Linked DNA regions of Mus musculus: regions 1, 2, 4, 5, 6 and 7 are each reported to be linked to region 3. The links are microRNA targets in miRTarBase. Many come from high-throughput screens and were not tested one by one. Region 3 holds a microRNA gene; each other region holds the end of a gene's coding sequence.

Region 1 (4,064 bases), not on the chromosome of region 3:
CAATGTAGCTTAAAAAGTTAATCTGAAATTGAGAAATAGGATAAATATCCTAACATCTCCCTGAAATGCTCATAGGCAGTACAAGACATGACATTTTACTGCTAAGATTATTTCTTGGGTTTGTGACAGATTCATTTTCCCTTTTCTTCTGGGAAGAAGTATGCTGTGTGGAGAAGTCAAGGGACAGATATTTATCCAGTGGTTGAGAAGGTAAGATCTTAGAATGCCCCAGAAGTTGGTGCAGTTCATACACAAGGCTTCTGCATGACGATGAACCTATATAAAGAGCCTTCTTTGGAGCACTCACCATAAATGCTGATAACCTTCTAGACGAGAGTCCAGTGCTGTTAACTGACTGTGCCAGCAATGGAGCAGACAGCCACTGAGCTAGACAATGTTACCTGACAACTGTTGATGTGTCACACACAACTGGAAGTATTTCCACATGAACTGCTAAGGACAGGAACCAGGTGGTATGGTTCATTTAATACGGGATTGGCACACCATAACTTGGGATTATTGAGGAATATTTTAAAACCAGAGCATAAGTGAGAACCTCCTGAGTTATGAGCAAGTCCATTAGAGCTCAGTAAAGCAAGCCTGGCTGGGCCTCTTCAACAGCACTCTCTTTCGCCATGCTTTATCACAATGTAATAGCCATAGGAGGAAGACCTGAATTAGTCCAAATGCTTTTTAAGTCTTGGTTATTATTATTCAATTGGATTTATCAATTAATATCTAATTATTGCCATCAGTTTTTGTTAACCAGACCTTGGGATTTTAAGTTGTAAACTCCCCAAGGATTAATAATAATTTAACTGCCAAAATAAGTCAGAAAGGCACTGGTGGTCCCAGGGTCAAGTGACAGGGCACTCACATGGTGCTGTTTCTCTTGGGAGGTTTCTGTCTGATTTACATAATACCAACAGGGGAAGCAAACACCCGGTAAAGACTTTTAGGGAGAACATTTTCAAGAGCCCTCTTTGCTGTCATCATGCATTTCAGTGAGTTTCATCCTCAAGCAAAATTATAAGGTCAGGAAATACCAACAAAAGATCATATTTAACAGCAATTTAAAAAAAAAACCAACTGTGAGGCACACCAGTTCAAAAAAAATTCAAAAACAATATTAAAACAATCCTTTCATTCTCATGGAAAAGAAAACACAGGCATGTGTTTAGAATCTCACTTTAGAATCTCAGCATATACCAGGGGAGAGATGAGGGGCACCCTGCACAGTCGTGCCTCAGTTTTTTTGTTTTTTGTTTCTTTCCTGCTTTAAATAGTAGCACTTTATTCCAAGGTTCTTTTGCAAGAGGCCAATTATTAAATATCAAGCCCTTACCCTTGCTCTATGGGCATTTATTTTAAATACCACTCACAATGGGTTTTTAAGAGAAATGCACATCTGTATTTTGTCTGGAAACCAACTACCTGTGGATACTACTACAAGGCACACAAGAAGCTGCACTCACCTGCAGTGTCTGCCATGAGAGTTTAGAATCATTTCCTTAACAGTTCATGCTTCTTTGTAAGTAAACTATGGACTTTTGGTGGAGAACATCAAGTGCAAAAACCTAAAACTAGCATCCCATGCTCAGACTGGGTATGGTACCTTGTTTCATAGACTGGACTTGGCCTTGGAATTCATCCCGCATGGAAAAGCCTAACATTAAAGCTACCAAATAAAACAGCAGAGTGATGTGGTAAGTATATGGCATTTACTCCTAAACACATTTCTACTGTCAGGAGATTTCCCGTATCTTTAAGCACAGTCAATACTTTTGAAATAAGAACAGAGTAGAATAAAAACTTCATTAAAAAATTGAAACTAGGCCAGGCACTGGTGGCATGCACGCCTTTAATCCCAGCTCTTGGGAGGCAGAGGCAGGTTGCTTTCTGAGTTCGAGGCCAGCCTGGTCTATAGAGTGAGTTTCCAGGACAGCCAGGGTTACACAGAGAAACCCTGTCTCAAAAAACAAAAACAAGAAAAAAAAATTGAAACTAAAATAAATTCAGGCAACCTACATAAAGCAAACTGGTCACATCCTATAGGTGGAACACACTGTCTTCAAAGCTGAAAGTCTAAGGACTTTAATAAATCTATATTATTAGGGAAATGTACTATTGTAAAATATCATATGTGTTATCCTGAATGTAAATGCTAAGATACATGTTGCTCAAAAATAACATAGTGGTTATACAGAAGTAAAACATAAACTCTAGTTTACACATAGAAGGAAAGCTTAAGAACATAGGAAAAACTGGATGAAGCTCTTGTATTCCGGTAAGAATTGTTAGTATTTCTGTAAGGGAGTCATTGAATTAACATGCAGCTTCATATTAGGGACCAGGGAAAATGAAAAGAAGTCTGTAAATGTAATACAGTCAGACTGGAGAAACCCACTACAGGGCATGTACATGCCCATAAGCATACATGAGAGCATGGTGAAGCATGCATATGGAGAGTGGCCATTGGCAAATCCCTGACAAGGATGGAAACAGCAGCAAAGCAGATGTATATTTAAAAAAAAATCAGAATTTGGCCCAGTGTGTTTTAATATACAAGAGACTTGCTGACGCTGGAGTGAAAAATGAAGAGGACTTTGGTTCCCAGGGCAGAGAAATTTCCCTCAGAAGAGAGACACCAGACTTTGAATGTGTGAGGGAGAGCTTCAGCCATCACCATGCACGGGCTCTGGACGGGTCCTCGGTGGCTCTGTCAGCAGCCTGTTGATAATGCAGCCCCCCAGAAGCCATCCTCTTTGAAAATGAGAGAGCTTCTTGTTTTAAAATGGCATGTAGAGGGTTTTCATTGCATAACTGCAAAGTTGTTGCAGGAAAAAGAATTATTAGGCTTTAAAAAAAAAAAGAGAGGGGATGGAAGACAGAGTTTATGTTATCATGGCCTGTGGATATGGCAGGAACTTGGTAAATGTGTTACCACATATTCATTCACACCACAGGACGTACTAGCACCAACTCTGCCCCGTCTGCAGCAAGCAAACTGACACAAAAGAAACTAAACATGCTTAAAGTAGAGCACTACAAACATATCACGACTGGCTTCCATTTCCTACTGGGAGAAGTGGGCTTGAGTTAGTCTTGTCAATACGCTATATAGTATTGCCTTCTGGATGATGCTCTGAACCTGTTGAAAGCGGAAAGAAACCTCTACACACGGATTTTATACAGCGCTGCATCAACAAAACTTTTAAGCACTAGGATTATTAAGCTTTCTGGGTGAACTGATAGCCCATTAGCTGTAGGAGTATGCTGAATATACTTCACGCTGATTCTTCCCTGGATCCAATCACAGATGAAGCCCGGCCCGTGGTGCACTCCCTTGCGAGTACGTGTTTTGCGAGTCCAGCTCTCCTCTTTCCTTTAATAAGTCCTGTGTTTCCTGGAGAGTCCTTGCTCCAATACCCCACTTCCCACCCACCCTACTTCCCACCCCTCCTGTATTTTCATAGCCATTTGCACACTCTGTATCTAGCTTCCCCGACTCTCAGTGGAATCATACAAATGGCGTCATCACAGCGGAGGAGTGGCGAAGTCCTTGGATGGCAGCGTAGGGCCCCTGCTGGAAGTAGTGATGGTATCTAGGCATGTGGAATGAAGGGAACGTGGGACCACTTCCCTGCATGGAGCTGGCTATTGCAGATGGGGTCAGAGGCATTCCCAGGCGGCTATATGGTGGCAGAGAACCCTGTATAGGGTGAGGAATCGGTGTCGCTATGGATGCTGTACTGGTACCAAGAGCAGTCAGGGGCTGTGGATGCTGAAATCCAGGAAAACTGGAAGATGACGATACCCAGGAACTGAGAGACAAATTGTCAGATGTTGTAAAGGCTGATCCTAGAAGAAAAACACTCATTAGACTCAAGTTGCTACTTCAATATACTAATAAAGAACTAATGATCAGTTTATTTTCTTTTGTTGTAGTTCTTGCTGCTGATGTTGTTTTGAGACAGGGTCTCACTATGTAGCTCTGGCTATCCTGGAATTCACTATGTAGACCAGGCTGGCCTCAGACTGACAGAGATCTTGCCTTCCTTTGC
Region 2 (4,067 bases), not on the chromosome of region 3:
TATGTATATGAGTACAGATGGTTGTGAGCCATCATGTGGTTGCTAGAAACTGAACTCAGGACCTCTGCGTGCTCCGGCCCCACTCACTCCGACCCAAAGATTTATTTATTTATTATTATACACCAGAAGAGGGCATCAGATCTCATTACAGATGGTTGTGAGCCACCATGTGGTTGCTGAGATTTGAACATGGGACCTTTGGACCACTGAGCCATCTCTCCAGCCCCTTCTTAGTGATTTCATAGGTGATAGTCTAGCTCATGCCTACAGAAGCCAAGATATACTTGGCCATTGGGTATCTGGTCCCTGCCCAGGAGCAGACCACTGCCTTTGTAGGAAGGGGTCTGGCAGTACGTGGGTGACAGGCAAATCCAATGCCAGGCCCGCTTGTTCTGCTTCACAGTTTCTGCTCTGCCCTGCAGCCCTAAGGGACTTCAAAAGTGGCCTGGGCCGCAGCAAGCTGTGCCGTCCATATTGAAATTCCCATCCCCTGCTCTGCCAAGGCAAAAGGTGTGTTCATGTAGTACACTGACCTTCTGCCCATTCTCCTTCAGGGTATTGAACGCCTCCAACGAACAAAACAGCCCAGGGAGCAGTCGGGCAGCTGGAAGTCGGTCCAGGAGGCTTTTGGTGGGAACTTTTCCCTGAACTGGTTCAACCCTTTCACCAGACCTTGTCAACCAGAGACACCCATTGATAAGGGCTTGGTACGTCAAGTGTCATCTCTGTCAGACGTGGACAACATGGAAACAGCTGAGAGCCAATTGGAGGCGACAAAAGACAGGGACTCTGTGGAGGTGCTGGATGAATAGAAGTCATGGAGGATAAGACACCAACAGTGGCTGCTACCCTGATGAGTGTTACCAACTCTGTCACCCCACACTTTTTTTTCCATTAGGATTGGGGTCGGGGGATAGGAAGGGCAATAGAGGGTACAGGAGAGTAGGGACTTTCTCTGAGTTCCTCTTAACAGGATGTGCCAAAAGTGATCCAGCAAAGGAAATGGTGACCAGGATGTCGGGGTGGGGGATCCACTTCTGCTTCTTGAGGGCTGTCTTGGGGAGGCTGGGGATCTTGGGGAAGGAATGCTCTAACATCAAGGAAGACCAGCCTGGAAGGCTAAAGAGACTCCAGCCATTTCCAGGAAAGGGATTCCTTGGCTGGCTGACTCGAAATCAACAAAGGAGGGTATGCTGAGCCTGCGGTCAGGGCTTGGGCTTGGTTGAAAGAGCACCCTACATGCATGCATGCATACACACGTACAGAGTCTACCCAAATGGAAATGAGCCTGAGTCATGACAGTATCGCCATCCTATAGATACGAGACTCTTCCCTGAGACAACAAGGCAGTCAGCCTTTCTATAGCCACAAGCATGCATCCTAGAAGAGCTAGGTGAAGACATATATTGAACTCCTGGAAAAAGTCTGTAAGACATGGGGACAGGTGCAACCAGAAATGGCCTCCTTTGCATTTTAGAGCAGCGCCCAAAATGGTGCCTCACAGAAAACTGCATTGCTAGTCCTAATGACATGCCTTATTCCCAACATTTAGAGCTGGCAACTAAACCTCTGTTGCTTTGAGGAGAACCTGGTCCACATGGTTCTGGCTACATAGGGAAACCCTGTCTTAAAAACAATGAAGAACTGCATGGTGGCCAGGACATGCAGACTGTTAAGCCAGGAAGACCCCAGGCACTGCTCTCCCAGGATGAGCTTGGACCTAGTCTGTCCACTGGAGCTTGAGGTATCTGGCTGTTACTGATAGTCTGGGCAGGCTCCTGCACTCCCCAGTCCATTGCAGTGGTGGCTGAAGCGGCAGCTTCTGCAGTCTAACCAGTTAGATAGTCTCAAGAAACACACCCAGCTCAACTCACCCCTTGAACCATTCCCCAGCGTGGCTGCCACTGACCCTGGCAGAGGATTGTATCACAGCTCCTCTAGCTCTGCAAAAGGGCAGGAGTCCTGGGCCAGTGGAACCTGTGACCTCCATGACACGAGTCAATCGAGGTACTGTCTCAGGACCCTGAGAAAGGAAAGCTGTGGGGAGCCAAGTGGTGGTCTGATTCTTGGGCAGCATCCTAGGTAGTGCCACAGTGTCAGCAGGACTTCAGCATTAGCAGATGTGGCCTACTCCACCCCACTGCAAGTGCACTTCCTCCAAGCAGGTCTGCTTTAACATTTATCAGCAATAACATGAGGAACCCAAGTTGTCCCTAATCTTGGCACTATGTGGAAAGACCTGTAGGGCCTCCAACCCCAAACAGACCTGGACGGCCCAGGTGCTGGACCATAACCAGAGATTCCATACCAGGGAGAAATCAGAGCTAGTGACTAGGTCCCCAAGGAGCAGCAGTTAAATTAAGGAAGGAGCTTTGGAGTCAGGATTTGTTAACTGAATGTCCTGTACATTGAGGCTAAAACCAGTCTTGCTTGGGGACAGCTTGACCTGCAGCAGAGATACCTCCCAGCCCACAGCCATTTGTTTCCAGAGTGCTTTTCCTGGAAAGGTTGAAGTGTGCATTTTGCTCCCAGTTTTAGGTCCTCCATACTCCTCAGCTAACCCATTACCATGTCAGGCCTCAGCCATATTTCTTCTGTGTACTGGACAGCCAGGATCATGTAGGTAGTAGTCTGTCCAGCCCTGGGCCTTGTGCCTTCACACCAGAACCCAATGGCCTTCTCTCTATGGCAACTCCTGAGATTCTACTCAGCACTGCAGCTGATAAGAGGAGGCCCAGTGTTTCTGGGCCAGAGGCTGCTTGCACACCTGCCTCTTGCTTTGAATAATAGTTCTTTGGTCTACCTCTGTGGCTAGAGGCGCCAATTTTTTAGCAGGAGATCCTAGCCCAAAGCCTTGGACAACGTCCTTCCTCTCAGGTCTAGTGTGTAAAACAAGTGTCACAAACACTAACTGATCCTCCATGGCCCCAGCATAGACAGAGGTTATTCTACAAGCATGTACCAGACATCTGCACGCCACAGAGGTGGGCATCTGGGCAAAAAGGAGTCAGGACTTGGGGTTTTCTGGTTTCAAGAATGAAGGAAAGATGACAGGTTTTAAATTAACTTGACACAAGCTGAAGGTATTTGAGAAGAGGGAATCTCAATTGAGAAAATGCCTCTGTAAGATTGGCCTTTACACAAATGTGTAGTGCATTTTCTTGATTGATGTAGGAGGGCCAGGCCCATTGTCAGTTATGCCACCCCTGGATGGAAGAAAAAAACATGACGGGCAAGTTATGAGGAGCAAGCCAGTAAGCAGCACTCCTCTGTGACCTCTGCATTAGCCCATGCCTCTAGGGTCCTGCCCTAACTTCCCTCAGATGCAATTAACCCTTTCCTCCCCAGGTTGCTTTAGGTCGTAGTGTTTTATCACAGCAACAGAAACCCTAAGGCAAGAATGGCCTTTAAATACACAAAATACCCCTTATTCAGTGTGTACTGAGTATCTCTGGAACACATGTCCACTTAGAATTACAGCCCTTGAGAGAGGTTGACCATCACGAAGAGGACCCAGACCAAGAAGGCCAACCTGGATCCATGAAATTCAGAGGCAATGAGGTTAAATTAAGCAGCATGCTGGCATAAAAGAAAATTTAACTCCAGACCACTTAGCCATCTTAAAGTTGCCAGAGTTTAATTCAAAGCATAGTGGTATGTGAGCAGATACCTTAACAGCAGAGCAAAGCACAGACTCCCGAGAACAGGGCAGGATACGTTGCTTCTTCAGATGTTGTCACTGGCCATAGACTCTTACTTAAAAAAAGGGTCTACCTCCCATGGCTCATCCAGAGCAAGAGGGCCTCACGCCAGCGTGGGGCCTGCTTCTAAGAGGACAGAGCCTTGGGATAAGAGGGTGTAGTGCCTGACCCAGGACCAGCTCCAAGATGCTTTCTATAAGACTTCCAGCACAGCCTCCAGGCACCCCTGGACTTGATAGAATCCATGGTCTAGATGGAAGATGCCTCCAGCCCTTCTATATCTGGGCTCTGTACATGGTTCTGAATCCAGATGACGGTGGCACTGTCTTCTGAGGCCACAATTCCTAAATATGTATTTGAAATGTT
Region 3 (4,067 bases):
GACTGGAGCTCATGTTGATGTCTATAAGTGATTCTCTTTTCTACAAGAATAGCCAGCACTTGCTGGAAAAATGATCAGTCCAGGGCTTGGGGACTGGAGCAGGGGAAGTGTAGCATGCACCTGAGACACGCCACTGTCCCAGACGGTAAGAAAATCTTCCAAGAATGGTACAAGAGGACAAGGAAACCGGTTTGGGGACTATTGGTGCTGGCTGCTGCTGGGGCAGGGACAGTCACTGCCTTCAATTGTGTGTTCACTGGGTGAGTCTACCAACTTCAGCGAATGCTTCTATACCCAGTGGCACGTGAACCACTGTGGTTAGACTCAAGGGGTGCAAAACAAGAAGGCATGAAGGGGCTCGAGGGTTGTGCAGAGGTTAAGAGCACCTGTTATTCTTGTAGAGAACCCACATGGGGCTCACAACCATCCAAACTGCAATTCCAAGCATCCAATGCCCTTTTCTGGCCTCTGCAGGTAGCAGGCACACATGGGGCACATGAGTACATTCAGGCAAAACATGTAATATTAAAAAAGAGAGAGAGAGAGACATGAACATGTCAGAGGGACTGGAGGGGAAGATGAGAAGACAGGGAGAATAATCAGAATGCACTGTGTATATATCAAATTGTCAAAGAATAAATTAATAAAAAAACAGTTTGAGGAACTTCCTCTGGGTAAATCCAAGAATTTTTACAATAGTGGTGGTGATGATGATAATAATAATAAGAGGCTATTAATGCACTAAATAAACCAGGACTCCAAATGTCCTGTAAGTAGACAGAGCAGCACAGACAACTGGAGGGGCAGCTCTCCCTACCATAGGACACAGCAAAGCAATGGAGAAGGAATGATGGAGTGAGGAGGCTGAGATTGAAGGCTTCAAAGACAGGACATTCACCTATTTTGATACATTTGATAGATTTATCAACCATAAAGGAAAACATAATGCCCACAGTGGAGAGTTTGGGACACATCACCTTAAACATGAGATCAAGGTTATAAATAAATAAATAAATAAATAAATCTGCCAGGCAGCCGGGCTGTGGTGGCGCTCGCCTTTAATCCCAGCACTTGGGAGGTAGAGGCAGGCAGATCTCTGTGAGTTCGAGGCCAGCCTGCTCAACAGAATGAGTTCTAGGGCAGCCAGGAACACACAGAGAAACCCTGTCTCAAGAAGGTAAAAAGTAAAAAAAAAAAAAAAAAGAAAAAGTAAAAAAGAAGAAGAAAAAAGAAAAGAGAGAGAGAACAGTCTACATTCTGAGGGGAAGCTGTAGTAGCTACACAGTATTGAACACCACACACAAGGCTTATACACACGACACAGTCAAGCCTGCATTATTTGTAGAAATTTAAAATGTCAAGCTAAAAACTTGTTTCTATTCATGAGCACAATGTTAATTTCTTGCCATTTAATGAAGATGCCCTCTTGAGATGGACAGACGGCAGGACAGTCTAAAGCACTGGCCTTGATTGGGTGCACAAGCCTGACTGAGCTCAGTTTGATCCCCAGCACCCACTCGAGTACAAGGGTGTGCCACGGTAACCCAGTGCTCTCAGAAAGAGATGGAGAGTGGAGACGGAGAATCAGCAGAGCTTGCGGACCACCTAGGCCAGAGCACTACTCAGTGAGAAGCAACAGAAGAGACTCCATCCCCCAAAAAAGGTGCAGAGAGAAAACAGACTCCTAAAAGCTGTCCCCTGACCTCCACATGCCTGAAGGACACCTCCCATATCTCTGTGTGTGTGTTTTACAGAAAAAGGAAGGAAGGAAGGAAGGAAGGAAGGAAAAAATATAAAGGTTTTTGTCTTTTTGCCCATGGTCACTTGAATCATGAGACAAAATAAAATTTTCTTCCCTTAAATTGCTTTTTGTGGAGCCTTTGGTTACAATAACTATCCAATTCCAACCACAGGAGGAAAAAAAAATGTGTGAAGATTCGAGTGTATTTCATCAATCAAACAACACAGAACAAACTGAGCACATAGTGTGTCGGGTGCCAGCAGAAAGAATAGAAACGCACATTGAAGAGTAAGCCTGCCGGGCGGTGTTGGCACATGCCTTTAATCCCAGCACTCGGGAGGCAGAGGCAGGCAGATTTCTGAGTTCGAGGCCAGCCTGGTCTGCAGAGTGAGTTCCAGGACAGCCAGGGCTACACAGAGAAACCCTGTCTCGGAAAACCAAAAAAAAAAAAAAAAAAAAGAGTAAGCCTGCTGGAGCAATTTTTTATCTCTTTATTAACCTAAATAATGGGTTATTAGAACTAAAAGCATTAAAGTGCCAACTAGAGATGAAAAGTAATTGTTCTCTCTGGAGAAACATTTAGCCTTAGAAGCAGAAAACAGCAAAAGACAATGGGGTGTATAATTCTGGGGTGACCAGACCTGCCTCTGCCTCCCAAGTGCTGAGATTAAAGGCATGCGCCACCACTGCCCTGCAGACCCAGCCCTTTTGTGAGTAAGTTCAGAGCTACAGATCAGACAAGCTAGAACATTAATCATAACTGCTGATCCAGAAGTGATGTGATGTCTGGGGTTTATATCAAACAATAGAAGTAAGCAGTAGCTTGTAGATGAAGGAAGACAGTTCAGGGGTCCAGAGTACACACTGGCTTTCCAGTCCAGTGGTGTGCAGCACAGTGTGTAGAGCCCTTCCCAGAGCCCAGAGCTTGGATTCCACCTCCTCAGAGAACTAGGTGGTGGGTGATACACGCCTGTAACCCCAGCACTTAGCAGGCTCAGGCAGGAGGCAGGGTCAGCGTCTGGGTTACACAGTAAATTCCCACACCATCCTGGGCCTGAGCTATAGAGTAAGAAGAAAAGGGGGAAAAAATCCACGATTTAAAAAAGTTAAAACGCAAAACCACTCTGGGAATGGTGAACATTGTATCTGAGATTACACATCTCTTTAGGATTTTACTAAAAACAAGATGAGAGAGGTGGCTAGAGAAAGGCTCAGCAGCTAGTTGTCATGGGGTGCAGTTCTAGAGATAGATTCCCAGCACCCACATGGTGGTTTACAACTTCTATAACTTCAGTGCCAGGGGAGGGCACACACACATATAAAAGACAATAGTAAATGTTTTAATTAAAAAAAAAAAAAAAAAAGGTTTTGGGCTGGAGAGGTAGCTCAGTGGTTGTGATTGAAATGTTCTTGCAAATCATCGGAGTCAGTTCCCTGCACCTTTGTTGGGAGGCTCTTGATGGCCATGTCCATGGAAACCTTGTGTGTATATAGGTGTTATACACCTATACACACTTATACACAAACCTATGTGTTCATGTATAGGTGTGTGCACAAAACCTTTTGTGCATACATCTATACATAAACACATAGACACATAATTAAAAACAGTGTATTTAGCTCACTCAGTCAAAGTGTTTGCCTCCCAGGCAGGAAGGTCCTGGACTTAATTTCTAGTTTTACACTAAAAAAAAGATGTAGGCATGGTAAGGCAGGTTTGGAGCCCTGACTCCTAGGAGGTAGAAGCAAGAGAAGCAGAAGTTCGAGGACATTGTCAGCTACCTAGAGAGTTCCCGACCAGCCTGGGATACATGAAAACCTGTCTATAAACAAACAAACAAACGAGTGAACATACAAACAAATAAATAGATGGAAAGGATTTCTTGAGGACCAGTACATATGTATGTTATATACTCTTTAAATATGCTAGAGAGCTTTCAAAATGAGAGTGGAATGTACCAATCTTTCTATATCAAGTATAGTAAAAAAAAAAAAAAAGTAATATAGATGTCAGAGTTTTGTTTGTTTTTGTTTTTCGAGACAGGATTTCTCTGTGTAGCCCTGGCTGTCCTGGAACTCACTCTGTAGACCAGGCTGGCCTCGAACTCAGAAATCTGCCTGCCTCTGCCTCCCAAGTGCTGGGACTAAAGGCGTGCGCCACCACGCTCGGCTCAGAGTTTTAACATCAAGTTTGCTACAGCTGAGGTGTGGCTCAGTGGTCAGTGCTTGCCTAGTAATAGGGAAGTCCTAGGTTCAACCCCCATCACTGCAATCAACAAATAAATGTAAAAATAAAATTTATTCATGTCGCTTGCAAGGGAATAAG
Region 4 (4,067 bases), not on the chromosome of region 3:
CTTCCCATCCTCACCTGCCTTTCTCTTGCCCCTCCCTCCCTCCCATTAGTTATCTTTGTCCCCTTGGACAGTTTTACTTCTTTTCTGTCATATATACATGCATGATTTTATATTTCCTGTAAAATCATAGGAGTCACAAAGAAGATAAAACATACAACATTTGTCTTTCCAGTTGCACCCATTTTCCTAAGGGTGTTATGGCTCTCTCTCTCTCTCTCTCTCTCTCTCTCTCTCTGACGCAGGGTTTTGCAATAGTCCAGGCTGCCCTAGAATTCTTTGGGAATCCTCCTGCCTCAGCTTCTTAAGTGCTAGGAATACAAGTGTGAGCCAGCACTCCTGGCACCAGGCTTCATATGAAGCCAGTTTGCTAATAGAACTTCTCTGGTAAAAAGCGCGTCACAGGCAGGCTGTAGAGCAGCCAAGGCTTTGTAGAAGTGAGCAGCTGATTAACACTCTTCATACTATATGTTTCCACCTATGAAACACATGCCTAAATTTTCCAGTGACTTGGGATGAACGTAGGTGATCACTTTCTCTGAGCAAAGAACCATTGCATGTCATTGGACTCCAAAGTGATCATAGAATAGTCCTTAGTGTTTCCTCTACATGGGTCATAATTATGGAACAGGTTTGGAGCTAAAACTTGAATAATTACTTGTGGCATTTTTCACCATCTTGCTGAGTGACTTTTCTCTGTTAATCTAGTGATGGATACAGTGATGCCAGCGATGACAGCTTTCCAGAGGCAAAGCTTGCTGAACTGGATCTCAACTGAAGCTCTTTCTTGCCTCAGGAATAGCAGAAGCTACCTAAGAGGGTAAGAATTCATTGTTGGAAAGGTAGAACTGATTCCTAGAATTTGTTCTCTGACCTTCACACACATGCTATGGCCCAGTTGTGCTTACGCTGACTCTCTCACACACACATTTATACACATACATATTAGTAAAAAAATAAAATAAAATAGGGGGCTAGAGAAATGACTCAGTGACTTAAAGCACTGGCCAGAGAACCCAGGTTTGATTCCCAGTACCCAAATGGGGTGGCTCATGACTATCTACAATTCCAGTTCTAAGCTATTTTATTGATGCCTTTGTCTGGCCTCTGTGGGTACTAGGTACATACATGGCACACAGACATGCACATAGGCAAACACTCATCACATAAAATAAGTCCTTAAAAAGTTTTAAAAATAAAACTCAACAAAATAAAAACTATCTGGCTGAATGTGTCATAGGTCACTCATAGCAGAGCAGATTCTCTTGGCTTTGTATAAAGTAAGATAATACTGGGGCTGCAGGGCTGGGTCACTGGTTAAGAGTACATGTGCATCTTGCAGATGGCCTGGGTTCAGTTCACAGCACCCACATTGCAGTTTACAATGAGCTGTAACTGTAGTTCCAGGGCATCTGATGCTCTCTTCCGACCTCTGACAGCACCAGGCACACTGTGTTGTATATACATATATGCAGTCAAAGCACACATGCACATGAAATAAGTCTGAAAATTAAAATTAAAAGATAGTATTGTTTCTTTGTAAGAAGTGGCTAGAAATAGGATTGGTTTTAAACGGCAGCTTATTTCCTCTGTTACTATATTCTGTATTCTAAGAGAGGACAGCATCATGGATAGTGTCATTAAGTTTATACTTGGAGACACATGTCACTTGGGATGACTCTAGAGGTTATGGCAGACCTTGAGTTGATATGCAGATATTTAGATGGAACAACTGCTTTTGAACAACTTGTCAAGAGCTCACTGCTCTGTTCAGTGGGGGCAGTTGCACAGTGATAGAATGCTTGTCTGGCTTGCCTGGGGCCCAAGTTCAATTCCCAGAATTGCAAAGCAAGAACAAAAGAACCACAAAGAGTTGTGTCACTCTATTGTGAGCTCTCGGTATATTGTTCTCTTTATCTAAGGGACAAGTGGGATGATATTATAGATGACGACCTTCAGGAACAAACTAAACTGTTGTAAAGATTAATAGGGATGATTTTAAAGGTGTGTATTATTCACTGTTTGATGTAACTAATACTTGCCTTTTTTTTTAAGCCTCTGAAGTCATTATACGGAAGATGAAGGAATTGTCTGAAGAAACCACCACACTGTTCCCTAGACATGGGCTGTGAAGATTCAAAGAGAATCTGACAATGTTTACTTCATGCAACAGAACCAAAGGGGTCCTTTTCTTTTCCCTCCAGAGGCAGCCTGTAGTAGTCACACATTTCTATCCTTAATTAAACGCAATTCAGCAGCAAGCCCGGGCCCGGCAGAAAGTGGTTTTGTGTTTTCTCCAGGACATAGTGAGTTCAAAGTGGTGAGCAGGAAGGGGGTGGGGAGAACTTTGCCTTCACAGTATTACACGGGTAAGGGGCATGTGCTGTAACCAAGGTTGGGTCTGTAGGTTAATGTGGGAGTTAAGATTATTTCACGTTCTCGTTCTGTTTATTTCCAATACATCCATTTTCTCAAATATGAAAGGGAAAGAGGATCTGAAAATTCAGGAATCAGGATAAGTTGGGCCGAGTTTCATCTCTTCAACCCACGCAGAGGAGCAAATTGGCTCCATGAGTCTTCTGACCCCAGCATGCACACACATAGACACGTAGACACTAAAAAACCTAAGGAGCATTAAAAACAAAACAAAAAATTTCCTTTTTAATTCAAATTACTTTTTACTATTCTTTTGACAACTTCATACATATATAGAATCATTTTAGTCATTTTAATCTTTTCAGAGCACCTTATTTATTTCTTTGTTTATTTGTTTATTTATTATTTTTCATATCCCAGTCACTGCCCCATCTTTTTATTACACTCTCATCCTGTTCTCACTGAAACCCTTCTTCTCAAATAAGTCCCTCTTTTATTTTCATGTCTTTTTTGTTGCTTTGTCTTTTTCTTATTGAGACAGCATCTCACAGCATAGTGCAAGCTGACGTGGAACTAACTGTGCAGTCCACTATAATCTTGACTTACTGTCATCCTCCGGCCTCGACCGCCCATGAGTTAGGATTATAGGTGTGACCTGGTCTCCTCTGCTCAAGATCAGCATTTTTGTTTGTTTGTGTGTTTTTTTTTTTTGAGACATGTTTTCGATACATAGATCTGGCTATCCTGGAACTCACTATGTAGACCAGGCTGGCCTCAAACTCACAAAGTTATGCCAGCTTCTGCCTCTCAAGTGCTGGAGTTAAAGGCGTTGTATACAAACACGCTTGGCTAACATTTTTTTTAATTGGAAAAAATAACAATTTTAAAGTGAAGTATGCAGTGTCATTTATTGATAGTGCACAGCTCTCAGTTTTATGAAATTATTCCAGGAATAACCTCTGTTCCCATCAGCCGTCACTCCGGAGGCATTCTTCTATGCGCATCCCCTGGCAACAGTTACAGCCAGATTGATCAGGGCAACTTGGAAATAAAAGAAATCACAGACCAACCTCTACATGGGCAGACTTGTACTTTAACCAAAACAGCTGAAGGACACCTGTCTCCCCTTGGGAGTGAACACTTGTGCGCACGTGGCACGGAAGGGTTGGGGACTTCATAGAACAGAAAAGAGGACTTTGGGCATGGAAGATTCCACCTGCAAGCTCAAAGCTCAGTTTCCCGAAGGCTCAAAGTGGCAGATAGCAGGGGAGGTTGGTATGCTGATCCTCTTATCAGGAGCATCCTGACTCCTGACCCCCACCCTCAGGATGTTTATCAGTAAAGTCAACTTTCCAGTCCAGAGTTTCTCAGCCCACTGGAGACTTTTTTTTTTTTAAAGATCATTAACCCTTCTTTCCAGTCCTTGAGGACTGATTAGAAGTAGGGAGTTGACATATTCTGTCATTGGCTGTTTTCTTCAAGAAGAGGGACAACAGGGACAGGAGGGAGTGTGGATAGGCTCTGTGCCCAGGACCTAAGGGGGCATAGGCAGGATTGACTTTTTGTAGCAGGAGGAACATTTTAACTTCATTGGCTACAGTGGATTCTGTGGTTGCCTTTCCTAGAAGACTCTTGGGAAACAATTAGCTGGGGTGAGGGTGAGGGCGTATAGTAAGATGAGACATCAGACTGGG
Region 5 (4,067 bases), not on the chromosome of region 3:
AGGCGGTGTCCGGTATGGAGCCTTGTGTCTTGGAGGACGAGGGAGTGAGCACTGGAAGGGGCCCCTGGATGGCCTCCGCTAGGCTGTGGATCGAGGGTTTCTGATTTTGAGCGAGTGTGGGATCCTTCAAGAGAGCGCTAGCAGCCCTGGAAGAAAGGGGCTGTGCCGTGGGCGAGGCCAAGCTCGGGAAGAACCTGCCTGGAGAGATCTTAGGAAAGACCCGACCTAGATTCGGGGCCCGGACTGGTGCTGGAGTCCGCACCGGTGCTGCATGCCGGACTGGAGCTGGAGTTGGGGCTGGGGTTAGGGTTGGGGCAGGGACTGGGGCTGGAGTTGGGAACCGGATTGGAACAGGGTTAGGGACTTGGGCAGGAGCCCGGACCCGGATGGAAGTTCGGACTGGAGTCGAGTTGTGCGCTGGGTTCGGGGCCCTGACTGGGGTCGCGGTTCGGATGGGAGCGGGTGTCCGGGCCGGGGTGTTTGCCCGGACTGAGGAGGGAGCGGGGACCCGCGCCTTGTTATTCATGGGGACCAGGTGAGACCCGGGTACCCCAGGCTAAGCGTCCCGCCTCGCCCTGCTTCCTTGAGCGAGGAGAGCTTTCGCACCCGAGGATTCTAAAAACCGAAGCAACCACGAGCAGGCACTGTTACACCGGGTTCCAGTCAGGCGGAGATTCCAAGCTCTGCGCCAGGGAGGCGCTGCTGTCTTCAGATCTCACCGAATAGACACCGCCCCTGTCCCTATCCCCACCCAGCAGGAGCCAACTCTGCCTAGAGCTTCCCATTGCCACCCTGACACTCATGCGTTTAGCTGGTTGAGTTCATTAAGCGCCCTCCTAGCGCTGGGGATTCCGGGGACAATGCATCTCTGCCCTCCTTGCTTCCTGCCCATGATAGGAGGTCACACCCAGTATGAGAGTGACAGCCTAAAACCGTCAGTGCAGTGGAGAATACCAGCACCCATATAATTCAGAAAGGAGGCACCTCTCTGCAGGATACGAGGTCCGGAGAAAAATAGCGACAACCCACACAAATAATCCAATTTACTCCCGGGGAGTGGTCAAAGTGAGACTCTGTCTTCTTCATGCTGTATCCCCAGCTCCTAGAACAAGACCTGGATCAACCAATCCTGTGGAACCCGAGTTAGGGAGATAAAGTGGAAGCTGGCACCAGGAAAGGGGACAAGTTTGAGAAGTGGAGTATAGGCAAAAGGCAGAGGTGACAAGGATTGGAGCCAGGGACAGTGACCATGTAAGGCCGACTAGACTTCATTCTGAGGCTCACAGAAGGATGACTTAACAGGGGTTGTGGCTCAGTTAATAGAGTTTTCATAGCATTCACAAAGCCCTGGGTCCAAGTCCCCCGTGCCACACAAACCAGTTATGTTGACTCAGGATTGTAGCTCCAGCACTCAGGAGGCAAGTGGATCAAAAGTTTAAAATCACTCTCAAGTAAAAAAAAAAAAACAAAAACAAAACAAAAAAAAAAAAACAAAACCAACCAACACCCCCCCCCCCAAAAAAAAACCCTCAGGATGCACATAACCCTGTTGATGTCTCAAGAGATGTCAGCCTCTGCCTGTGGCTTTGGGGCAGTATTTCTAAGCCAGGGAATATCCTTCTGGAAGGGGGGTGGGGCATACATAGACCAGCCAATCCACAATAACGTGGATAGTGATGACAGCCTGGGGCCACATTGTGTCAGTTCTGCCCCAGGAGGGCTATTAACTTTATCTGCCTGACCAAGACCTCATGAAGACTCTAGGCCCCAGAATGCAATGTACATTTCGTGACCATTAACGTGCTGTGTTGCCAGACGTCAGTGCAGTGGGTGCTTCCACAGGAAGAACACACAGATGTTTGGACTAGGAATTGACCTGGACCCTGGCACATCCCCTTCTCTAGTTGGCTGGGTTTTAAACGTATTTTTTGTTTTGTTTTGCTTTCTGTTATCTTTGAGAAAGACACACAGCTATATAGCTTAGGCTAGCCTTAAACTTACAATCCTCCTGCCTCAGCCTTTTTTCCCCCCCTTTCTGAGACAGGGTCCCATTATGGATCCTTGACTATCCTGAAACTCGCTCTGACAAGGCTTGTCTTGAACTCACAGACAACCACTGCTCCTGCCTCCCAAGAGCTGGGGTTAAAGGCATGTGCCATCGTGCCAGAATCTCTTGGCTAATTTTAATTATATTTTAATCTAATTACCTGTGCTACAGCATAACCACAAGCCTAAAAACTTTTAGTGAGCCTTCTATCAAAGGACCAGGCCTAGTCCAGCGTGGTGGTGCCTGCCTGTAATTCCCAGTGTGCAAGATGCAGACGCTGGAAAGCTGCTGCAGTTTGATGCTAGCTTGGTTGGCAATCCAGTAGATCTACAGAGTGAGTGGCTTCCAGGGCAGCCAAGGCTACAAACCCTGTGTTGAAAAACAACACAACTGGAGAGATGGCTCAGCGGTTAAGAGCATTGACTGCTCTTCCAGAGGTCCTGAGTTCAATTCCCAGCAACCACATGGTGGCTCACAACCACCTGTAATGGGATCTGATGTGCTCTTCTGCTGTGTGTGAAGACAGAGCCCTCATATAATATAAGTACCTGTTTAAAAAGAAAAAAACAACAGAAAAGAAAGGAAAGAAGAAAGAAAGGAAAGAAGAAAGGAGGTGGCTCTCAACCTTCCTAATGTTTCAACCCTTCAATACAGTTCCTCATGTGGTGACCCTCAACCATAAAACCATTTCATTACTACTCCATAACTATGACCTTGCTGTTGTGATGAATCATAATGTAAATATCTGATATGCAGGATCGGTGATGTGTGACGCCTGTGAAAGGGTTGTTCAACCCCCGAAGGGGTTGCAACCCACAAGTTGAGAGCTACTGGTTTATACAATGAGCTCCAAGCTATCACAAGATGCTGTCTCAATTTAAGAACAACAAAAACCTACTATTCCCCTTATGAGACAGCTCTCTTAGTTTCAACATCAAAAACAAAGTTCACCTGTTGGAGTGGTGCACGCCTTTAATGCCAGCACTTAGGGGGCAGAAGCAGGTGGATCTCTGTGAGTTCGAGGCCAGCCTGGTCTACAGAGTTCTAGGCTGGCCAGGGCTTTTACAGAGAGGAAACTCTATCCTGGGAAAATAAAAAGTTCTCAGCCTGATGTGGTTGAGCAAAATAAGAACCTTTATAGATGTCTCTGGGGAGATGAGAAAAACTAGGTTATAAATAAGCAATATGTACAATAAAGCCCTTTCAAAGAGTCTCCAGTCGGTAGGGGGAGGTAGAGATTGGACACCACAAAGTAAATAAAATCATTCAGGCTCCATCTCCAGGCGATGATAGAGAAGGGACAAGATAGAGAAGGGGCAGGATCAGGCCTGAAAAAAGAAATGAGAAAGAAGCGTTAGAAAAGATATTGAGGGTGGGAGGAGCTGGCTGCCACTGAGCCAAGTGTCCAAAGCCTGGAACGTGGGAACGTGGGTCGAGGATACCTCTCGTGCATAAATGGAAGGGGCTGGTATGACATAAATGGATCTAGAGTCTCCATCTTCAGGATGATTCCAGTCAGCCGACGAACTGTGGGAGGAGAGAAACGGGGGACAATTCAGACCCCACGAATTCTCATTTTTTTATTTCCCACACCCATCAAAGAGGGAAACCGCAGACTGGCAAGGGAGAATTCTGCAATGACCCCATCAGAAGAGGGCTAGGGCTAGAACACCTGGGTAAGAAAGTCCAATCCGATAGAACCAGACCAGTCAATTGGCCGCAGTGACAAGGTGTGTCGCCCTCACCTGGGGCCATCCCCAGCACCGTCTTGTAACCTCAGGTTGTTGAGTGCATCCGGGAGCGTGTGGACCGAAGGCTCCCGGGTCCCAGAAAGCAGGCGAGTCCCGGTATCCTGGCCAGGACCTCGGCGGCGAACGTGGATGACCAAGAGTGCGGCGCCAGCCAAACCGGCGGCCACCAGCAGCCCCAAGGCGGGAGGCAGAAGAAAGCGCTGTGGATCCGCCTGCCTCAGGCCCCGCGGGGCGGCGGGCACCGCGTCCGCGCCGTCCGGGCGCACAGC
Region 6 (4,067 bases), not on the chromosome of region 3:
GCACTGCAGCATACACTTTCTGGGTCTCTTACCTGCTGTCTTACTGATGGGAAGGGAGTAAAGAAGTTCCTGCTCCATGCACAGCGCCCCCTATGGGTGGCCTGGGAACTTGGCTATGCAGTTGGTGCAGGTCATACTTCCGAAATTCGCAGCTGTTTTTTCTAGAGGGTTTACATTGCACCAACATAATCAAATGCAGCTTTTGTTTGTGCATGAAATGTTCCATTTAAGGAGCTTTGCCCGTTTTTCATAGGTTCACCTCAATGGAACTGAATATTGTATACAGCTATGTCATCGAGGTCCTTATTTGCTTGCACACTCGAATGCTTCAGAAACTCCCAGACCTGGTGAGAAGTCTCCCGACCTTAGCCTCTGTCCTTAGAAGAAAAGCCAAGAACAAGCATGTTAGGCTTGTGTGGGAGTCTGTCCTGCAGGAGTACGGGCTGCAGGAGAGGGATGTCTCAGCACTCTGTACCTTCTTCATTGTACATGGCAACAAAGGAGAGCACTATGCTGCCAACGTAAGACGGATGTACATCAAAGATGTTTCCTTCATGATCACCAACATGGTAAAGAACCAGGCTCTACAGGATGGATTGCTTAGAGCTGTTCAGATCATCGAGAAGGGGAAACAAGCACAGGACCCTGAAAACTCAAGGGCACCCCTAAAAGAGTTGATGCCCCCAGTTAAAGACTAACCTGTTACCTTTGACCCAGCAGTTCCACTCTCGGTCATTTGTATTTTTTTTCCCCCAAGACAGGGTTTCTCTGTACGGCCCTGGCTGTCCTGGAACTCACTCTGTAGACCAGGCTGGCCTTGAACTCAGAAATCCACCTGCCTCTGCCTCCCAAGTGCTGGGATTAAAGGCGTGCGCCACCACTGCCCGGCGGTCATTTGTATTTTAAAAACCAAAAAAATGCATAATTTAATTTTTATAGGCTTATTTTATAGCAAAAGTGGAAGGAACATTAAAGAAATTATGACAAATGGATACAATGTACATTGTGTGTGTAGCCATATTTGAAAAAGAAGCAAATATTTTATAATGAAGTAGAATTTGGGGTGTAGCCCAGAGTACATTTTTTTTTTTTTTTTTTGGTTTTTCGAGACAGGGTTTCTCTGTGTAGTCCTGGCTGTCCTGGAACTCACTCTGTAGACCAGGCTGGCCTCGAACTCAGAAATCAGCCTGCCTCTGCCTCCCGAGTGCTGGGATTAAAGGCGTGCGCCACCACCACCCAGCTACATTTTTTTTTTGTATGTATGAGGCCCTGAGTTCAATCCCTGATACCACCAAATACATAATAAAGAAATTTATATGGAATCATTACTCAGATTTGGTGTTTTATTTATAATGTTATATACAAAAAGGGGCAAAAACAATTTTATACACACACACACACACACACACACACAATTTTTTGTTCACGACATAGTTTCTCTGTGTCTGTAGCCTCAGCTGGCTTTAAACCTGGATATTTGCCTGCCTCTGTTTCCCAAGTGCTGGATAGCCATGGCTGCCCAGCATACCTATAATATCTTCAAAGGATACTGTGTATAAGTTTAGATATATCCACTTCTGCAGTGATACTTAAGTGATGTGGGGTTTTTTTGGGGGGGGTGGGGGTAGAGGACTAAGAATCTAAGAGTCAAAGGGAAAGAAATTGTTTTCACTGGCTAGTAGAACTTCTCTAGACAGGACATGACATCATTGTCTCGAATCAGAGAAGCTGTGATTGGCCACAGCACAGGGTCATGAGATCAGTCCTACTGCCATTTCCTCGTTGATGGAAAAGGGAAATGCTACTTTCCCCTGAGTCTCCAACCCCAGACCTAGGCTGTACATACTCTTGCTCCAGCCACACCTAATCTTCAGGGACGCTAGACTATACAGGAGGTGGGACGCTAGACTGTACAGGAGGTGGGACGCTAGACTGTACAGGAGGTGGGACGCTAGACTGTACAGGAGGTGGGATGCTAGACTGTACAGGAGGTGGGACGCTAGACTGTACAGGAGGTGGGACGCTAGACTGTACAGGAGGTGGGACGCTAGACTGTACAGGAGGTGGGCAGTTGATTGGGGTTCAGAATGCAGTGGTGCAGCTTTGGGGGTCATCCCCACACGGAGGTGGGGATTTTAGATGGTTTGCCTTCAAGTCATCCATGCCTCTGTAAGTAACCCACACCCATGCTCCTGTAAGACCAATGAACTCATTGGTTCACCACGCTGGACTTGGTTGGAATCTCTTCTTTGGTCTGTCTTTGCCCTGTCTAGGCGAAACAGACATTTCTTTATATTTCCCTAGGAAGAGTCAGACTGCTTGCTCAATTTGAACATTTTGAATTTTGAATGCCTTTTGAAGGGCAATTAATCAATTGAAAGCATGAAATAATAGGGGTGGAGAGATGACTCAGTGGCTGAGAGCATGTATAGTTCTTCCAGAGGACCAGAGTTCCACTCCCAGCACCTATGTCAGTGTCTCAGCCACAGCTCCAGGACAGTCTTGCTACTTTCTGCCAAGCTTGTGGGCCTTAAGTCGTTAGAAAGGAAGCTGAAGACCTCAGTGGACTGTGACACAGAAAGAAGTATAAATGCCAAGTTGTCACAGATCTGAGGAACAGAAACCATAACCAAGGCAACTCTTTCTTTTTTTTCTCTCTCTTTTTTTGGTTTGGTTTTTCTGAGACAGGGTTTCTCTGTATAGCCCTGGCTGTCCTGGATCTCACTTTGTAGACCAGGCTGGGATTGAACTCAGAAATCCACCTGCCTCTGCCTCCCGAGTGCTGGGATTAAAGGCGTGTGCCACCACGCCTGGCCACAAGGCAACTCTTATGACAATATTTAATCAGGGCTGGCTTACAAATTGAGAGGTTCAATCCATTATCAAGGTGCCAGAGCATGGCAACATCCAGGCAGGCATGGTGCAGGAGGAGCTGAGAGTTCTACATTTTCATCTGAAGGCTGCTAGCAGAATACTGCTTCCAGGCAGCTAGGATGAGGGTCTTAAAGCCCACACCCATAGTGACTCACCTACTCCAACTGGGCCACACCTTCTAATAGTCCCATTCCCTGGGCCAAGGATATGCAAACCATCACAGACTCCAACTCCAGGTCCTCCTGTTTCTGCCTCTGCCTTTGCTACCTAAATGCCTCAATTACAAGACACACGTGTCCATGCCTAGTTCAGAGGTCCTTCCTTCCTTCCTTCCTTCCTTTTTGAAACAGAGTCTCTTACTAAACTCACTGTATAGACCAGGCTGATCTCTACCTCACAGAGACCCTCCTGCCTCTGCCTGCAATGTTTTGGGAACCAGCTGACCAATTGAGGAAGGGTCTCATATAGCCCAGGTTGACCTGGAACCAGTTATGTAGCCAAGGCTAGTTTATAATAATCCTTTTGTGACTACTTCCCAAATGCTGGGATTGATTATAGAAATGGGTCTCTTGTTGAGTTCTTCAGACTCCACATACCAAACCCAATAGGCATTTACTCATGCTAAAGTCTGGGGTAGAGGGCCCAAGCCAAGCACCCCCAAAACAAGAGGGAAAGCAATAACAGCCAAATCTCTACATTGCTGTTTTAGCCAGTACCATAAGGATATCACCCCCACCTTATTTAACCTTTACAAGGATTCTTTGAAACCACAGGTGTAACTCTTTGTTGCTGCTCTCCTTGAGCGTCACTTGTCTATAAGGCCAATATCTGCTGCTCATTCTATAAAATGCTAGTGTTGCAAATAAATGCTAAGAAAAATCTTTAAGGTAAATTTGTTGTAATTTCTTCTTTTAGCACTAAGAACTTTAGAAAGCTTTGTTAGGAGAAGGGTAGCCTAAAGAATACTGAAAGAATAATTACAAAAATTCCTGTTCGGATCTTGGTTTAGAGAGTTACTTGAGTAAGCAAGATTCTGCAGCCTACAGTAGCCGAGCGACCAAAAGCGGGAGGAGTTGCTACTAGCAGGCTAGGCGGGAACGCAGACGCAGCTCCCGGAAGTCCCGCCCGACTGAGCGGTTCCTTGGGGGAAGACGTGCCGTTTTGGCGGGGAATTGTGACGTCCGTGGAGCCCG
Region 7 (4,065 bases), not on the chromosome of region 3:
AAACATTCTGTTCTAAAATTAGTGGAATGGAGTTTATGAACATAAATTTTTTTGTGTTTTTCATTTTTAGGGAGGCAGCAAGAGAATGTCGTAGAAAGAAGAAAGAATATGTGAAATGTTTAGAGAACAGAGTGGCAGTGCTTGAAAACCAAAACAAAACATTGATTGAGGAGCTAAAAGCACTTAAGGACCTTTACTGCCACAAATCAGATTAATTTGGGATTTAAGTTCTCTCCTGTTACGGTGGAGAATGGACTGGCTTGGCCACAACCAGAAAGACAAGTAAACATTTATTTTCTAAACATTTCTTTTTTTCTATGCGCAAAACTGCCTGAAAGCAACTACAGAATTTCATTCATTTCTGCTTTTGCATTAAACTGTGAATGTTCCAAAAACTACTTCCACTTCTGCCCTCAAGAAATGTGCAGCGCCAGGAATCATGAAGAGACTTCTGCCCTCCGTCTCCACCACCCTCAAGAAGTAATCATTTGCTTATTTGTAAATTGTTGGGGGAAATGAGGAAAATGAAATCTTGGCTTTCTTATTTTTGTTTTAGGTTTGTTTTGTTTGTTTTCTTATTAATGACTTCAAGGTTTGTTGAGCTCCATGATTGCCTTAGGGACAGTTACCCAGCCTGCTGAGCTGACGTAATGTGTGGGCCACACAGGAAAGTAAGGAAGGTGCAATGAAGAAGTGTTGACTGCCAAATTAATGTTTTTACACTTTCATTGTGAATTATGTCGAACTATTAAAAACATCCTTTAAATAAGGATATTAGTGTGGTGTTGGGAGTAAACTTTATATGTATGTTCCTTTCTTCAGCACTGACAAGTTGTCCTTGGTGCTGAGAAGCACGGTATTGGCTACAGTTCCTCTGTAGGGCAGTTGTTGCTTCTTCATTCAGTTCTGTGTGTTCAGCAGTTTGAATACATTAACAGAAGTAACCAACTGAATGGAAAGCATGGTTTTGAATTTTGAGTTAAGTTAAAATCATACTATAAAGCTTATTCTGGTGAGTACTAAGTCTTAATGAGTAGGTGCTGGCCAGGAAGCTAACTCCTTGAGTTATACAATAAGGTGTTTAATAAATAAAGACTTTTGTCCTTGCTTTCCGAATCCTCATACTGTCACTCATTTACCTAGTCCACTGCTGCATTTACACTGTGCAGCCAACAGGAGCGTTTTCAAGATGTCCAGCCAAAGTGATGGAAAGTACTAAATAGACAACCTTTTCTATAGTCATATTTTTATCAGAGAATCTCTTGGGATTTTTTTTTTTAAATCAAAGAAGTTACAAGGATGTGATTCTAAAACATTGTGTTAAATGCACACAAGAAAAGTAATTTCCTTCAGACATTGGAGTGTGTGCTATGGTACAATATTTGGCAAACACTTTTTTTTTTCTCCTAAAAAAGGTGGTACTGCTTTAACTATCCAAAAGCTGTTCTGTTTCTGAAGATGTTTCTACTTACATCCTTACCTATAGTCTACATTTATGTGTAACATTGTTTCTGATAAGACTTAGTAATAACTCATTTTTTTTTTATTAAACCTAATAAAATCTAAGAGTTACCTCTTTAAAAGACAAATATGAGGACAGTGGAGGCTGGCATGTTAGGTTACTTCACGTTTGAGGAAGAACTCAGACTCAGAAGAGTGTCTTATATTTGCTTTGGGATATTAAGAAAGTTAATATTAATATCAGTATACGTATGAGCGGGAACTGTTTGGCCCATTTCTAAGCTAAGACTAGGTTGCTATCTGTAAATGTTCTACGTTGTTTATAACAAACCATTGTCTTTTTTCAAGGATGAACAGTTTGTGAAGGACATGATTCTAGGAGTTGAGTGATGTAATAATCCTTCTGTCTGGACAGTTCACCAGATTCTCCAGAAGGCTTTCAAACGGCTAAAGTTTGATCTTTGTCCTGCTGAGCTTGCTGGGAAGGAGATAGCATAAAAGCTGTCTGTGCTAGCAAGTAGATGTATCATTTGCTAAACGTGGTGAAACAAAAAGGAAGCAGAATCACAAATCTGTCAACAAACTGGAATTACTTCACATTAAGTCAGAATGTCAGATTGAACATTTTAAATGTCACAAGTGGAAAATTTGCCTAGCGTGCAGAAGTTGTAATCTCTAAGTGTCTATCTTCAAAAGTCGAGGTTTTCTACATAATGAGGAAACAGGTGGTCTCCTTAACCCTTTAGAGACCAAGGCAGTCTCAGCCATACTTCCTAGTTGGATGGATATTAATTTACAGAGGCCTGGGTCTTTATGCTTGGAGCATGACTGTACTAGTTTGACACCAGTTACTTGATAATGTGAGAAATATATGGTGTTGTGAAACCTGACTTTGAAATTTCAGTTCATACAGAAAGAAATCAAAGCCTCTTTAATGCAAGCTGGATTTTTTTTTTAACATGAGAATGAGAAAAACAAAAACAAAAACTTGTTTTTGAGCTATGTGGAGAATCTTTATTAAGAAAATGACATAATTTTTTAAAAACTCTTATATCCAAAATTGTATGTGGCCACATTATCGGTAATGTTTTCTCTTCATGTTGGCCAAAAGGGAATGGAACTGTCATAGGAATCTGTACATATGCTACTGATTTGCCTAGAGAATAGAAGTTTGGTACTGCTCACTTTGCATATATATAGTGGCACTTTTATCTATAGGGCAGATTAACTCTAATAAAAATGAAATGGGGATAGGTTTATTTTTGATATATTACTCTTCTGAGTTTTCAAGCTTTGATAGTGTTTAACTGAAAAATGGTTTAGAAAGGGCTAGATCCAATATGTTCATATTTAAAAAATTGATATGAGATACAATTTAAGTTCTTTATCAAAAGCAAGTACCATATTAGCAACCATCATATTGTCCTAGGTGCTGTGCTTGTTTAGATGGTATAGTGTGGGTGGGGACGTGGCATTTTGTAATATATGTGTACATATATACATACATACAGTATATCATCTAAATGCTCTGAGAGCTGGTATGTCAGGAATGCTGAGTATTATAGCGTATTGAGGTCCGGTGAGATTCCACTTTGCTGTGCTTTCTCCTGCATCTCTTCTGGTGTTTCAGTGACTGTTTTACTCCAGCACTCACAACTGGGTTTTCTCTTTTCTTCCAGTTTTTTATTAGGTTTTTGTTTTGTTTGGCTTGATGCTTTTGAGTATGTTACCAGTCACTTAAAAACTCCTAAACCCCAAGCTCTTTTCCCCCTGCTTTGTTTCTGGCAGCTATAAAATTGGTAAGAACATTTTGAAAAAAGGTTTTAAGAGAATTGTTTCAAGAATCATTTTGGGCAAAGACTTTTCATGTTTCATTTGAACAGGGATTTTTGTCAAGATGTGTTTTGATGGTAGGCCAGCAAGCAGTGCTACTGTCTAAAGCACAAACCAGTCAGGCAGGCTGTCCAGCCAGAAGCCCTCTTGGCTGAAGCCGGTCTCTGCCTCTCAGGACTCCTCCCTACTATTTTCGACCATTTAGGGTGACATGGAATCATACAAATATTGGGGCTTAGAAACAAACATTTATATAACCCGGAATGCTTTTACGTACTTGAAGTGACTTCAGTCAAAATGTTGCCTTTCCTGTTTAGGAAGCTTTGGTTCTCTGTTGACTCGTCAGCTAGTAACACAAATCGGTTTCTCTACCAATAGCTGCTTCATTTTCAGTTCCTTCCAGAGGCTTTTGTTCTGCCTTTGTAACACTGAAACTCTGGATTGGCACAGCATCCCGGGGCCCAGTACACAGGCTGTATGTTGACTTGAGGTTGTATTTACAGTAGTTCTTTGTAAAGGTTTGCTGTAACTTGCACTTTTTTTTAAGGACCCAGTTTGGGTATCAGCAACTTGGGAAATTCCTTATCAATGAGTTCTCAGCTGACCCTTTTGTCTTCCTCCTTCAAATCATGACTCCTTAATGGAAGCGTTTCATTGATCACAGTATCATAGCTAGCCTTAAGCATGTTATAAAAGCTAAATATCTGGGAATTAGGTTTGACTAATAGTGAAGGAAAAATAAGTACTTATAATTTTAAATTTCATCCTCCA

What was found. Region 3 holds the annotated microRNA mmu-miR-1195 (UGAGUUCGAGGCCAGCCUGCUCA, at 1,100-1,122, shown strand). A microRNA usually pairs through its seed, bases 2 to 8, with sites in the 3' UTR of a target mRNA and lowers its output. Matches are read on the target gene's strand: a 7mer-m8 pairs with bases 2 to 8, a 7mer-A1 pairs with bases 2 to 7 and ends in A, and an 8mer does both.
Region 1: the mRNA of Tbx20 is a reported target of mmu-miR-1195. Seed matches in the 3' UTR shown: 8mer at 1,901-1,908.
Region 2: the mRNA of Zdhhc3 is a reported target of mmu-miR-1195. The part of its 3' UTR that is shown has no 7-base or 8-base seed match.
Region 4: miRTarBase lists Ctps2 as a target of mmu-miR-1195. Seed matches in the 3' UTR shown: 7mer-A1 at 3,121-3,127.
Region 5: miRTarBase lists Dll3 as a target of mmu-miR-1195. Seed matches in the 3' UTR shown: 8mer at 3,061-3,068.
Region 6: the mRNA of Smco1 is a reported target of mmu-miR-1195. Seed matches in the 3' UTR shown: 7mer-A1 at 791-797, 7mer-A1 at 820-826, 7mer-A1 at 1,143-1,149 and 8mer at 1,171-1,178.
Region 7: the mRNA of Creb1 is a reported target of mmu-miR-1195. Seed matches in the 3' UTR shown: 7mer-A1 at 1,639-1,645.

The regions. Positions count from the first base shown.
Region 1 is chr9:24,721,932-24,725,995 of GRCm38, forward strand. It overlaps Tbx20 (T-box 20), which reads right to left. Exons shown (of 8, transcript NM_194263.2): 8 at 1-3,861. The coding sequence ends at 3,521. Among named protein-coding and RNA genes, the nearest start is that of Dpy19l2, 28 kb to the left of the region's middle.
Region 2 is chr9:123,067,106-123,071,172 of GRCm38, reverse strand. Zdhhc3 (zinc finger, DHHC domain containing 3) reads left to right here. Exons shown (of 7, transcript NM_001372538.1): 7 at 555-4,067. The coding sequence ends at 812. It overlaps Tgm4 (transglutaminase 4 (prostate)), which reads right to left. Exons shown (of 14, transcript NM_177911.4): 14 at 3,615-4,067. Among named protein-coding and RNA genes, the nearest start is that of Tgm4, 34 kb to the right of the region's middle.
Region 3 is chr17:70,857,613-70,861,679 of GRCm38, reverse strand. It overlaps Mir1195 (microRNA 1195), which reads left to right and starts at 1,080; the gene lies at 1,080-1,177.
Region 4 is chrX:163,029,062-163,033,128 of GRCm38, forward strand. Ctps2 (cytidine 5'-triphosphate synthase 2) reads left to right here. Exons shown (of 19, transcript NM_001168568.1): 18 at 706-817; 19 at 2,053-4,067. The coding sequence ends at 775. Among named protein-coding and RNA genes, the nearest start is that of S100g, 66 kb to the left of the region's middle.
Region 5 is chr7:28,290,552-28,294,618 of GRCm38, forward strand. It overlaps Dll3 (delta like canonical Notch ligand 3), which reads right to left. Exons shown (of 9, transcript NM_007866.2): 7 at 3,793-4,067; 8 at 3,490-3,574; 9 at 3,004-3,375. The coding sequence ends at 3,370. It overlaps Selenov (selenoprotein V), which reads right to left and starts at 635. Exons shown (of 6, transcript NM_175033.4): 1 at 1-635. The coding sequence starts at 526.
Region 6 is chr16:32,273,460-32,277,526 of GRCm38, forward strand. Smco1 (single-pass membrane protein with coiled-coil domains 1) reads left to right here. Exons shown (of 3, transcript NM_183283.3): 3 at 254-1,322. The coding sequence ends at 698. Rnf168 (ring finger protein 168) reads left to right here and starts at 4,002. Exons shown (of 6, transcript NM_027355.2): 1 at 4,002-4,067.
Region 7 is chr1:64,597,164-64,601,228 of GRCm38, forward strand. It overlaps Creb1 (cAMP responsive element binding protein 1), which reads left to right. Exons shown (of 9, transcript NM_009952.2): 9 at 71-4,065. The coding sequence ends at 215. Among named protein-coding and RNA genes, the nearest start is that of Mettl21a, 19 kb to the right of the region's middle.